Regions from separate parts of the Mus musculus genome. Here all the other regions are reported to be linked to region 1. Evidence: microRNA targets listed by miRTarBase, many of them from high-throughput screens and not tested one by one. Region 1 holds a microRNA gene; each other region holds the end of a gene's coding sequence.

Evidence for each region. Region 1 holds the annotated microRNA mmu-miR-410-3p (AAUAUAACACAGAUGGCCUGU, at 1,982-2,002, opposite strand). A microRNA usually pairs through its seed, bases 2 to 8, with sites in the 3' UTR of a target mRNA and lowers its output. Matches are read on the target gene's strand: a 7mer-m8 pairs with bases 2 to 8, a 7mer-A1 pairs with bases 2 to 7 and ends in A, and an 8mer does both.
Region 2: the mRNA of Nckap5l is a reported target of mmu-miR-410-3p. Seed matches in the 3' UTR shown: 7mer-A1 at 1,266-1,272.
Region 3: the mRNA of Ndnf is a reported target of mmu-miR-410-3p. Seed matches in the 3' UTR shown: 7mer-A1 at 3,186-3,192.

The regions. Positions count from the first base shown.
Region 1 is chr12:109,741,598-109,745,765 of GRCm38, reverse strand. Mir410 (microRNA 410) reads right to left here and starts at 2,051; the gene lies at 1,971-2,051. It overlaps Mirg (miRNA containing gene), which reads right to left. Exons shown (of 8, transcript NR_028265.1): 3 at 3,951-4,076; 4 at 3,476-3,704; 5 at 2,348-2,409; 6 at 1,919-2,100. It overlaps Mir541 (microRNA 541), which reads right to left and starts at 3,357; the gene lies at 3,268-3,357. Mir409 (microRNA 409) reads right to left here and starts at 2,608; the gene lies at 2,530-2,608. It also overlaps Mir412 and Mir369.
Region 2 is chr15:99,419,263-99,423,435 of GRCm38, reverse strand. It overlaps Nckap5l (NCK-associated protein 5-like), which reads left to right. Exons shown (of 13, transcript NM_001001884.1): 11 at 1-70; 12 at 158-300; 13 at 528-1,402. The coding sequence ends at 737. Among named protein-coding and RNA genes, the nearest start is that of Nckap5los, 11 kb to the left of the region's middle. RefSeq lists an enhancer at 1,879-3,482.
Region 3 is chr6:65,703,815-65,707,999 of GRCm38, reverse strand. Ndnf (neuron-derived neurotrophic factor) reads right to left here. Exons shown (of 4, transcript NM_172399.3): 4 at 1,070-4,185. The coding sequence ends at 3,555. Among named protein-coding and RNA genes, the nearest start is that of Ndnf, 34 kb to the right of the region's middle.

The DNA.
Region 1 (4,168 bases):
CGCAAAGGAAAGGTCCTCGTCTGCCTTGGGAAATCTTAAAGCTTTTTTCTTTTCTTTTCTTTTCTTTTCTTTTCTTTTCTTTTCTTTTCTTTTCTTTTCTTTTCTTTTCTTTTCTCTTCTTCTTTTTTTTTTTTTTTTGTTTTGTTTTGTTTTGTTTTGTTTTGGTTGGGGTCAGGGAGAGGCTGGGAACCAAGGTACTAGGCAGTTTGGGAAAGCAGGCACCTGGGGAGCCATAGCTGACAAGCAGTCTGATGTCATATCACAAAGGAAGGAGCTGGATAAGAGTGTCAGGCTGCCTGCACTGTCACTGCAGAGCAGGGAACACGATCCCCTCCGAGTCTTGAACTCCTGTGGAGGGGGCCTACAAGCTTGAGGACCAAGGAAGGGGGATGGACTGTGGGAGACAGTAACCAGGACCAACTCCCAGAGAGAGGGCGCCTGGGCAGACCATCCTGAACAAGAGAAGAAATCTAAAGGAGACCATGTGCTAGGTACAAGCCAGGGTGCGCAGCCACTATCTCTGTTGGAAGAGCATTTTGCTGCTGAGGAGGCCCAGAAGAGGAGAAAAAGCATGCAGGGTGGAGTTGCCAGGGTGAGGGTGCTACTTGCTCCAATGGGGAGCAAGCCCAATCAGAAAGAGCTCTTTGCCACCCTGGGGAGCCTTACTAAATACCAAAAATCTATAGCCTGTCTTTCAAAGGCTCCTACTGGGTGTGATCAGGTACTTTCTGGGGTCCTTGAGACTCTAGGTCAAGCCTCTACAGTAAGCTCACAGGAGTCTGACAGAGCCAGAGTGTTAAGTTGGAGGAAACATGAAGAAGTGCAGGCTACATTGGACACGCAGACTTTGTGTGCCCCGGTACAGGGGAACGCCAGGGCCAAAGGGGGGGAGTGGGTGGGTAGGGGAGTGGGGGTGGGTGGGTAAGGGGGACTTTTGGTATAGCATTGGAAATGTAAATGAGCTAAATACCTAATAAAAAAAAAATGAAAAAAAAAAAAAAAATAAAAAAAAAAAAAAAAAAAAAGAAGTGCAGGCTAATCCCTACTGGGCCCCCTGTGCTCGTGAAGCAGGGACAGAGCTTGGGTATCACTGCCTTGTAGACTCAGGAGGACATTCTGTGCTATTTCCAACAGGGTGGCACTGAGGACAAGACAGGCCAAGGGATGGTCTCACATACAGACTAGAGAGTCAACCAACACAAAGGCTTCAGTTCTTGGCATCAATGCCTCAAAGTAGAAATGGTCTAGGGTAGGACATGGTGCAGAGAAGTAGGCTGTGGGATAGTCATCAGATAGAAAACAAACGTCTCAGAGACAAGCTAGCTCAGGTACCACCAGCACGGACTCTACTTAGGATGCTTCTTCCTCTAAGATGCCCTTCTGGACTTCCCAACCCCCACCTCAGGAGATGTGAGGCTCTGGGTCAGGATGAGTCAGCTACATGCCTGACCATCAGTGGTGTCCAGTGGGTCAGCAAAGTGTGTCCCTCCCCTGACACCCATGCTCACACAGTAAGAGCCAATGATAAAGAGAGGTGACCATGCACTGTACCAGCATTAAGAATGGAAACCCGTCACGGGCAATCTCACCTCAGATACTAGGAACTGCACGTGTAACCAACTGGCCTGGCTCTTCCCTAAGTATCATGCTAGCCCCTCCAAGCCCTCATGGTATTGAGAAGCACCCAGGGTACAGGGCATTTGAGCATGCAGCCCTCGGTGGAAGCCTTAGACAGGGACAAACACCCATTGTTGTGGCGGGAAAGAGGCATGGAAAGTGGACAGCCATCCATTGCACATCTGGCCAATGCTTCGTGGCCCAGCCTACAAGGTTGGTGCGATCCCAGGAGGCTCCTCAGAGCTGAGGTTCAGTGAAGAGGGGGTGACAAGCGTCATACAGAGTCCATGCATTTACCTACCGGGCAGTGGTGTGACACCTGGTATGTACTGCCGAGTGACCGGAGTGGCAGGTGGTATTGAAAACAGGCCATCTGTGTTATATTCGTCATTAATAAAGCGAACTCATCACAGACAACCTCTCCTCAAGTACCCAGTGTTGACCGCAGCAACCCTGGAGCTGGAATCACCACCTGAAGCTGTCCTGGGGGGAAGGGGGGGATTGCATATAAATGGTGAGTAGGGTTGACACAGGCAGCACACAGCCTGTTCCACCCAGCCCAGTTCCCCGCGGAGGCAGCAACCTAGAAGCACCATGCTGTCCCCACCCCCACAGGGGCTGCAACTCCAAGAGCTTCTCCAAGCTGAGCGTTGATACTGAGAAAAGATCAACCATGTATTATTCGAAGTCAGCCAAGCGAATATAACACGGTCGATCTCCCTTCAAGTACCAGCAGAGGTGTTGAGCTGAGGCTGTGACATCCTGGGCGCAGGCTGCAGCGGGCACCGACGGCTAGTGGACCAGGTGAAGTACATTAGAAACAATTACTTTCCAGCTGGTCGACCATCCGTCCCATACCCCAGAGCGAGATGAGTCCATGGTCTTCCCTGAGGTGGCCTCCCTGGAGGGATTTGATACCGAAAAGGGGTTCACCGAGCAACATTCGTCCTCCAGATGCAAAGTTGCTCGGGTAACCTCTCTCCGAGTACCACGGAGAGGCTCGGATGCTCAGAACGAGGCCGATGGCTGAGTTTCCAGAAGAACCATCCTGGAGCCCCTCAGAGATTATAACTCCCCATTCAGTGAGGAGCCACCCTCCACCACGTGAAAGCAATTATTCCATCACCTCCCCAGTGCAATCTACCACCCTTTCACCTTCCAAGAATATCTAAAGCCTTCCCAGACAACCTTGAGACCCAGGTAGCGAGGAGCTGACTCGGGGCAGAAGTGGGTGCAGAACTCTGCTTACTCTATCTCTCCTTTGTAAGCTGGAGATAGGGAGATGCTGAGACCCTGCGCATATACCACACCACCCTCCCAGAGACGATGCCTTCCAGAAGCGAGGAGGCAATGACTGCATCATCCAGAGATGCTCCTCCTTGGGCCCACCCAACCACTGCAGCCCCACGACCCTGGCATCCCCGCCCTGTCACCTGCCCCCTCCCCCCACGGTGATGTCATAGCAAGAACTGCTTGACCATCCAGTCCTATAAACCAAGCAAGTAATGCTTCAAAGATAAACATGGAGGGAGGAGAGAAAGAACAGCGGAAGGAGATCCCGCAGGGTCCCCTTGTGCCAGTGTGTATGGCTGCCCCGCACGAGCACGCCAGGGAGGGCTCTCCAGTAAGGGTCAGGATCCATTGACTTAGGCCATAAGCAGAGTATGGATTCTGTGTTCGCCACTCATTTTAAAACTCTTGGAGTGTGACCAACATCAGAATCCCTTCTCTGATTTTGGCAAGAGTTCACACAGGCTTCTAGCCTTGCTGCAGGGCAGCAAGAGACTGGTCACATGCAGTGTGTCATACGGGGAAAAGACGCCACGGGCAGCTTCATGTAGGTGTTCTGGAAACTGACCTGTGGGACAGAGGCTCTTTCCCCAGCTGGCATCACCTCCTGGAAATGCTCCTAAGAGGCACACAATGGCGATGATGGTGGCTAACGGTAGCTACAAGATCCAGTCAACAGTATGGGGAGGGAAGCTTGTCCAGGTTCTTCCTCCAAGCACTTGTCCTGGAGAGAGCTCCAGCCACTGACCAGTTCCAAGACAATGATGTAGCCTCTGGAGTCCTTTGAGGTAAAGATCCTTTTGGAAAGAGAGCCACCATGAAACCTGGTGCTCATCACACCCCAGATAGTATATTAGACCCTGGATACATCCACTCTAAAATGACCTCCCGTACGGGCCTAGCCCTTCAGCACCAACAATGGGTACGTCTTTAAGCCTAGCCCTGGGAGCTGGCAACATGGAAACCCAAGGAAGGGCAGGCCCTAGAATGTTCCAGGTACCAACTGCTCGGCAAGAGCAGACTCCCCAGAACCAGTGTCTTACCCGGAATGTTTCATGAGGATCGAGGAAAGTGAAGAAGACTGCTCAGTGGGCACGTGCTCTGGCACTGGTACCCAGTCACATCCTCCAGGTGACACCCGCCAGCTTCTGAATACTCCATGAAGCTCTCTGTAAAGGTTTGGGATGGGAAAATAAAGTTTAGCCACATTAAAAAAAAAAACCCACATGGTGACCAGTCCTTCTTATCACCCCACTAGCTC
Region 2 (4,173 bases), not on the chromosome of region 1:
AGCATGCCAGCCTTCCCTGGACTGCTCACAGCTCCCCCAGGCCACCGAAGCCATCAGACCTGTCCCGATGGTGAGTGTCCCCTCAAGTGGTAGGGCATCCCTAAGAGGCTCCTTGGAGCCGGACCAATGCATCCACTTCCCCCTTCTTCTTGGACAGATCCCTGTGAAGACCCAGGCCCTCCCCCACCTGTCCAGCTGGCCAAGAACTGGACCTTCCCCAACACCAGAACAGCTGGCAGCTCCAGCGACCCCTTCCTGTGCCCACCCCGACAACTGGAGGGACTGCCTAGAACCCCCATGGTAAGGCCACAGAAGGGAGGAGAGAGAGGCCTGGGTGCCTGGAGGGAGAGACTGGGAGATGGATGTCTCTGAGCTGTGTACAGCCAGCCAGCACCTCCTCTGGAGGTGAGGATAAGTTCGCCCACCCATCCCATTTTGGAAGAAGGCTTCCATTATTCCTGCCTCTGTGGACCCCCACAGCAGTCAGGGTGGCTACGATTCCTCTCTGAGCAGTACCTCTCCTCTAGGCCCTGCCCGTAGACCGAAAACAGAGCGTGGATCCCAGCCGCACATCTACACCTCAGGGCCCAGCATTTGGAGGCAGTCGTACCCCCAGCACGTCGGACATGGGCGAGGAAGGCCGAGTGGCCAGCGGGGGCGCCCCCGGGCTGGAGACCTCAGAATCCCTAAGTGACTCCCTCTATGACTCGCTATCCTCCTGTGGGAGTCAGGGTTGAGGGACCGCACCCACTACAGTTCCTCTGGAGCTAGGGACCCTCAACGACCTGCTTCCGCGCTCCACGCCCCACGCCTTTGGGCCGGTGAAGCTTGACCTGAAGGGACCAAGGAGAAAGAGGATAAGAAGGCGATGGGGGGTCCCTGGCGTATGCCACTGCTGCTGTGGATGCGACAACCATGCTCAGCTCAGGGAGAGACCTCATCCCCAGTCCCTTGACTCCCCCAGAGTAAGGCTCTGCTCTACGGGACCGGGGGCTCCAGGCTGCTTTGTCCCAGCTCCCACTTCAGGCCGAGCCATCTTGCGGTGCTAGGCTTCCTGCCCGCCAGCTGTGCCACCTCTGCCCAACCTGGCTGCAACCCTGCCCCAAAGCCCCCATGGGGCTGATTTTGGAAGCCCCAGGCTTATGGAGTTTGGGGGTGAGGGGGACAAGTCGCCTTCACTCTGCCCTGGTCCTCCCTGCTGTCTGAATGGTGCTGCCTCCCTTCCCCACATCGTGGGGTCTGTTTGTCTGTCTTCATCTTTGTTTTTATATATATATATATATATAAGCGCCTGGCCCAGTCCCCACCCCTACCCGCACTGCGGTTAATTTATCTGTTGTTGAAAAGCAGCCCTGCTTCTGCAGCATCCCTAATAAAACGTGGAGGCCTCTCCCCACCGTGACTGTTGTGTGGCAGCCCCCCCTTTGTGCTTGCTGGCTTCTCTATAATCCTTCGGGTGGACTGGTGGGTAGGTCCAGGGACCCTCGGGTGCTCTAATGAGGCTCTGTGCCCTTCCCCTGGAGGAGCTGGCTAGAAGGTGACTTACAGTGACCTGTGTAGATCTGAAGCCCAGAGGATGTCACTGACCAGAGGGCACACAAGGCCATGCAGCCTTGGTGAGAAAGATGGGGAAGAGGCCTGTGATCATGCGCTCAAACCTCTCTATGCTCCAGGTTGGGGACTGGCCAGTTCGGAGCAGTCCCACTGGCTTTATATATAGACACGGGACAGTCAGTGACTACCCAGGCCGAGAGGGGAAGAGCCTGAGAGGACTACCCTCACACCGGCACACTATGCTGTCTCTCAACTCACTTCCTCGTGCTTTATAAACCATCTCTATATGACTCGGGAGCACTAGAAGCCAAGGATATTTATCACCAGAGCTGGCGTTCCTAAAAAAACCTATCACTACAAACCTTGGTTTTCCTCATCTGTATATTAGACTGAGAGGCCAGGTGGCCCCGCCCCATCAGCAGCCTGAGGCCAGGTGGCCCCGCCCCTGTTCTCCTTCACGCTCTACGCTCCGCCCACATCTGCCATCTTCCCTTAGCTGACGCCATCACTGAAGAAATTAACAAGACCAGAACAGGGTCTGACAATGCAGTTTTGTCCCTGCCCCTTCCTAGGTGTACTAACGGAAGTCTGCATCTTGGTTTCTGACCAACTCCTGACTGGTTTCTTGACCTGTTATTGCCCTAAGCCTGATGCATTACATCATTTCCTGTTAGAACTGCGTTGGCCTCCTAGATCCCATTCCTTCCTGGAAAGGAGTTTGGCATGGTGGGCTTTCATCTTCACTTCAAAGCTAAGACCAAAATCCATGTTCTCGACAGGGTCTGCTCAGTATGCTAGGAATTTGAAAATACCAGGTGCCACCTCGGTCCCTGGGTCAGAATGAGTTGACTGGAGAAATGTCCCAGGGCAGGATAGGCTGCAGGAACCATAGTGGTCCCGGGAGGCAGCCCTGCCCACCATGGTCAGCCATAGCCCACATGACAATCTCCCCCTCCCCCAACTCCTGCCTGATCCCAGTCAGCCATAGCCCACATGACAATGGCCCCCCTCCCCGGACCCAGGGCTCGGTTCCAACTGAAAGAATTTGAGGGCGGGAGCATGTGGGTTTATTGATACTCCAGGGAGCCCGGTTTCTTGGCGCTCAAGGAAAGCTTTGCTGAAAACCTCCTTGATCATGGCTGGGGCAGAACACTTGGTGTCTCGGTTTGCAACAGCTGCTTGTAAAGTTACTGTGACCTCACTCTCCTCAAGAACAATGGGCGAATGTTCATGTAAGACCTCAGCCGGGTTTCCCAAACACAGGAAGTTCAGACTGCCAGACAGCTGCCCTCCCCCAAAAGGCCAAAGCCAAAAGGCGGGAAAGAGGCGGGCTCCGCACACTGGCACCTCTCCTTTTGCAGGAAGCCCCCCGCCCCCACCCCTCCCTCCGCGACACCCACACACACAAAGAAAAAGAAAAAAAAAATAGCCTCTCTAAGGCTGCCAGGGGTTTATTTTATTTCCTTTTTTCTACTTTTCCCCCCCACAAATAGTATGTTTTGTTTCCTTTAAAAAAAAAAGTTTAAAAAAAGAAAACATGCTCTGTAGCAAACCCCAGCTCTAGATCCCCGCCCTTATTCTCTGGGGTAATTCAAGTGTATAAATAAATCTCTTAAAGCCAAAAGTTCACGGTAAGTACTTGTGGGGTCGTCTGTGATTTTAGGGAAGGGGACCAGCTGTTTTTTAAAGATTTATTTATTATTATATCTAAGTACACTGTAGCTGTCTTCAGACACACCAGAAGAGGGAGTCAGATCTCATTAGGATGGTTGTGAGCCACCATGTTGCTGGGGTTTGAACTCAGGACCTTTGGCTCGGAAGAGCAGTCAGTGCTCTTAACCACTGAGCCATCTCTCCAGCCCCGGGGACCAGCTTTTTAAAAACGTTTTAATTATTAAAGACCTACAAATCTGGGTTGATTCACAGCCCTCTGTCCAGTTTCAGGGTACGGTTCTTGCTTGTGGGAACATGAACCCTAGTTTCAAATAGCTGGCACCTACATAAAAGCCAGGCTTGAAGGTGTGTGTCTATAACCTCAGCACTTGGGGGTGGGGGAGGGGGCCAAGCCAGGTGGATATCAGGACTTGATAAGTAGCCAGTTGGGTCAAATGGTAAATCGCAGGTTCAATAATAGATTGTCATAAGAAGAAAGCAAGGCCCAGCGTGCTAGCACTTAGGAGGCAGAGGCAGGCAGATCTATGAGTTCTAGGACAGCCTGGTCTTCAGGGTGAGTTCTAGGACAGCCAGGCCTACACAAAGAAACCCTGTTTCCAAAAAAAAAAACAAAAAACAAAAACAAAAAAGAAAGAAATGGTCTTTTGGAAGCCAGGTGTGAGGTGTTGACACTTTGGCATCAGCATCTGGGAGGCAGGAGGCCAGGCCTTCCTGAGCTGCAGAATGTAGTAGCCTCAGCTACAGAAGACCCTGTTTCAAAAACAGTCAGACCCCTGTACAGACTCAGGGGTAAAAGGCCCTTGCCACCAAGCCTGACTCACTTCTCCAGGCCCACATGGTGGAAGGAGAGAGCAGACAGCCATCGGTTGTCCTCTGACTTCTGTGTGCTACGTACTTGCTCACACATAAATATATTTAATTAAAATAAAATATGTAAGTATATAT
Region 3 (4,185 bases), not on the chromosome of region 1:
CCCCCTGATCACCACACTGTTCGTCAAAATGTGTTTGTGTATGATTTCACTGAGATTACCTACATCCAACCTCACAAAGTAATCAATAAACATTATCAGCTTGGTGACATGGCCCAGTGGATAAGAGCACTTGCTGCTCTTCCAGAAGACCCAGGTTCAATTCCCCAAATCCCCATGTCAGTTCACAACCATCTGTAACTGCAGTTCCAAGGGATCTAATGCCCTCTTCAGACTTCTGCCGACATGTGTGCATGTAGAACATCTATACATATACAAAAAAATTTAAATATTTTTTAAGGAAGAAATAAGTGTAGCTTGAATTCATCACCTTAAACTAAAATTTGTCAGTTTAACCTGAACAATCATCATTTCAGAACATAGAAATATTAGTTACTTCAGATGGATTTGGGGCAACAAAATAAAGCATTGCCTTTTAGCTCTAATCTTTGAATGCATGTTTAAAAACTGAATTAGGGGCTGGAGAGATGGTTCAGCGATTAAGAACACTGGCTGCTCTTCCAGAGAACTGAAGTAAATTTCCTAGCACCCGCATGGTGACTTACAATCATCTGTACCCACAGTCCTAGGGAATTCACACCCAATTCTGGCCTCCATAGACACCAGGCACACACTTGTTACAGAGATATACATGCAGAAAAAATATTCATAGACATAAAAATTTACATACTGATTACAAGTTAGTTTTAAAATTCTGTTGTGTTTTGGAGACAAAGTATTTCTAATGTATGTTTGCATATACATTAATAAATAGACTAATAAAATTCTAGTCTTAGCTTTGTGTATGCAAACATATACTAGAAATAATTCATCTTCAAAATTATTTTCTTATAACTTTGAAGTGATCAACTATAGACATCACATTTCTTAAGAAACAAGAATAATTACACTAAAAGACTACTTTTAAAAACTCACCTATGAGTGAATATTTTTTCAAACAAAATTTGATGACTTGTATTCGGAAAGCATTTTGGAGTCTATGACATAACTTGCTTAACTCATTCAACTATAGAACCATTTGTTTGTTTGTTTTGCTTTGCTTAATTTTTCTGCACTGAGTCTCACCTTGTAGTCCTTAGTGGGCCTGGGTCTCATTAAATAGATCAGGCTGAAACTCAAATTCACAGAACTCCATTTGCCTCTGTCTCCTGGTATACATTTGTGTGGGCAAAACTTTCTTATTTTTTGTTTCTCTTGTTTTAAATATATTCTGTTCTTTCTCTGTCATTGTACTTGAAAAGGAAAGATAATGAGCTAAATATCTCCAAGCCTTCTCTTCTCAATATCCGTCTACACATGGCATTGGGTACCATCCCTCTCAGTGTCTATTGTTCTCTCAGAGATTAGCGTAGGCCAGGTTTTGCTTTTATATTAGCAAGCGTGTAGTTATTTCTAAAATGTGAATGAATGAGTCCCTTCCTTGTCCCTAGTCCACTGGATACTCCTGAAATCTTAGCACATCAGTGAGGCATGATTTTCAAGGCTTTTCCCTTTGTTATAAGCAGTAAGCCTTTCATGATGTGTGTTTAATTTTCCTTAGCTTGAAAAGGCAATTTTTATCCTAGGGTCATTAGAGAATTTCTGTATTTGTCCACAATATGAAGAAACTACTACCACGCCTAGCAGAAAATTCAAAGTGTTTTAAAATCAGTTCAACCTGGTTCCCAGATGCTGAGAGTTAGGCAGTATCCAAGATCCCAGACCTTCAAAGCAGCAGTAATCTGATTCGCTGCAGTCCCACTTACAAGTTGCTCAGCAGCATTAGGAAGCTGCTTTTCTCACATCTATAGCTGAATATAATTTCTCTGAGTGTCAATTTGTCAGTCTCTCCTTTTATTGAAGCTGCTTAAATAAAGCATTGGGTACATGGTTGTCAGCTTCCAAAAAGTTATTTCAGATGTTGTTCCTGCATTGCACAGATGGATCAATTTTGCTGAAAGTTACTGCCAAGGATTTAGAGGGTATGCCATAACGCTTGTACTTTCCCTTAAGGTAAGCAGAACACACGTCATAGGGAACTATATACAACGCCATCTCTGCCACAGTATTCCTATACCCCATAGAAATGCTGCTGTGAACTCTCACCAGCAAAGCTGTGCCGGCATGCAGTGGATAGCAATAAGAGGAACCATTGCGCCTGTTCTCACTCTAGCCATAGAATGTAAGGGTTTAGGGTCAGGATTTTGCAAACGGCAACTTCTCATGTCAGAAGGTATTTCACAGTGTCATTGTATCCACTTCTACCACTTCCTCAACTTTATAAATGGGAAAGGGGATGGTGGGCAGTAACATTCTCCTAAAGTCATATGGTTTTAGGTGACCAACAATTACAAGTATTTCTGAATCTTGCTTTTATGGTCTCATGTTGCCTTGGAATTTCCAAGTAAAATCTGTAGAGGATAAAAGTGTCCCCATGCTCCCTTGGTAGAGCCTGCAGATGTTATTTGCTAGACTTGTATCTTACACTAAAATTAACTTTAAAAACAGTTGAAAACTCAAAATAAAATTACCTGCAGCAGTGTTTTATAAATCTTGTAAGCAGCAGATGTAGCATTGTGTTGTGACTGATGAAAGTCCTAATCAAGGTTCTCACCTGCTTCAGCAAGCCGTTAAAAGATTTGCCAAAATTTAAGCAAATGGAAAATAAATGTTTAAAATGATCGCTTATCAGATTGATAGTGTTTGCCTTGTTCTATGCTCAAACAAGCCTATTACAGTTCTTCGTCTCCCATTGAGTTCCCAAATCCAGACTTGAATAACCAGCTCTTGATGCCAGTAAAGATCGAGAGAGCCAACATTTACCTCCTAGCTACTAAATAAGACTAAATTTTGGTGCCAACTTACAGAAAAAGCACGGTTTTAAGGACAGATAAGCAATTGAATATACCACAGTACTGCTTGGGAAAATGAACAGTGTAATAATCTAATATTCTTAATTTTATATACATGAATATAATGTATATCAACTTTTTACATGAGATACATACAGACAGCATTTAAACATTTTACTGAACAAATAAGAATTTACAACAATATTACTGCTTAGAGGGTGATACGATCTTAGATTAGATCTATACTTTAACAGAGAAAGAATTTAATAGCTTACAATAATAGAAACACCAACAATTAAAACAGACTTTATAAAATAATTTATATTTATATATTTATATATAAACTTCCCCTAACATCTATAGAGAGGAATTATTTGCATTTGTGAATGTGTGCAACGAATGGCATATTTTAAAATTTTAGGTAATAAAATAATTTAGAAGCAGTTCATGCAATGGTCAAAGCAAGGGGTGGCATCCATTGAGATACCCTCTTCTTTTGACATTAACCAGCATTAGACAGATGGACCCTAAGTACCACAGGTGTGCGTGAGTACAAGTCTCCATGCTACATTAGGCAAGCATCAATGTACACATGTTGTTACCCTTTCTTTCAAGTACAACTTTTGTTTGTCACGAGAGTAGTCAGTTACAAGCAGTGTGACTCCATGTCTCTCCTGGAGTTCTCCTGATCTTCACTCAAGGTGACTAACAGACCTTCCTTGTTTTCACAATTTTACTTTGATACTTCACAGAGTGTCCCCCATGTCCTACGACGTAAACATCCAGCAGGTAAGACTTCCCAGGCTGCAGATCTCTGATTGTCTCTGTAGTCACTGCTTTCTGCAGGTTTTGGCTGTGGAAGTATTTGCAAAGGACCTTCTCTGATTTCTTTCTGGTGTCTGGTCCTAGGCACTGGTTTTGCTCTCTTCTCTTCTGGTCTTCACTGTAGTTTCCATCCACTTCCTTTCTGTAGATACAAAACTTTCTCCTTTCTTGGGTGCCAAGCCATGCCACCGTAACTGAAGAGCAGGTACGTAGCTTGTCAAAAGCTTTGATTCTTGTGTCTTCGGGAAGAGAGGGGAATGCATGCTTACTGGGCCTGGTGGTCGCCAGTATTTTCAGCTTTGATGCTCCTTTCCTGTTGCCTTTCAGTCGAATGAGGTATTTTCCTTTGGGTTTTCCTCTTAACTGAAACTGCCGAATGCCTTCCACATTCTGTGACAGAAGCAGCCTCCCATCTCTTCTCACTTGGACTTGAACGGCATCCATACAAGAATGAATAAAGAACGTGACCTTTTGGTGAGAGGAGACTGGAGCAAACCGTAGAAACTTTTTC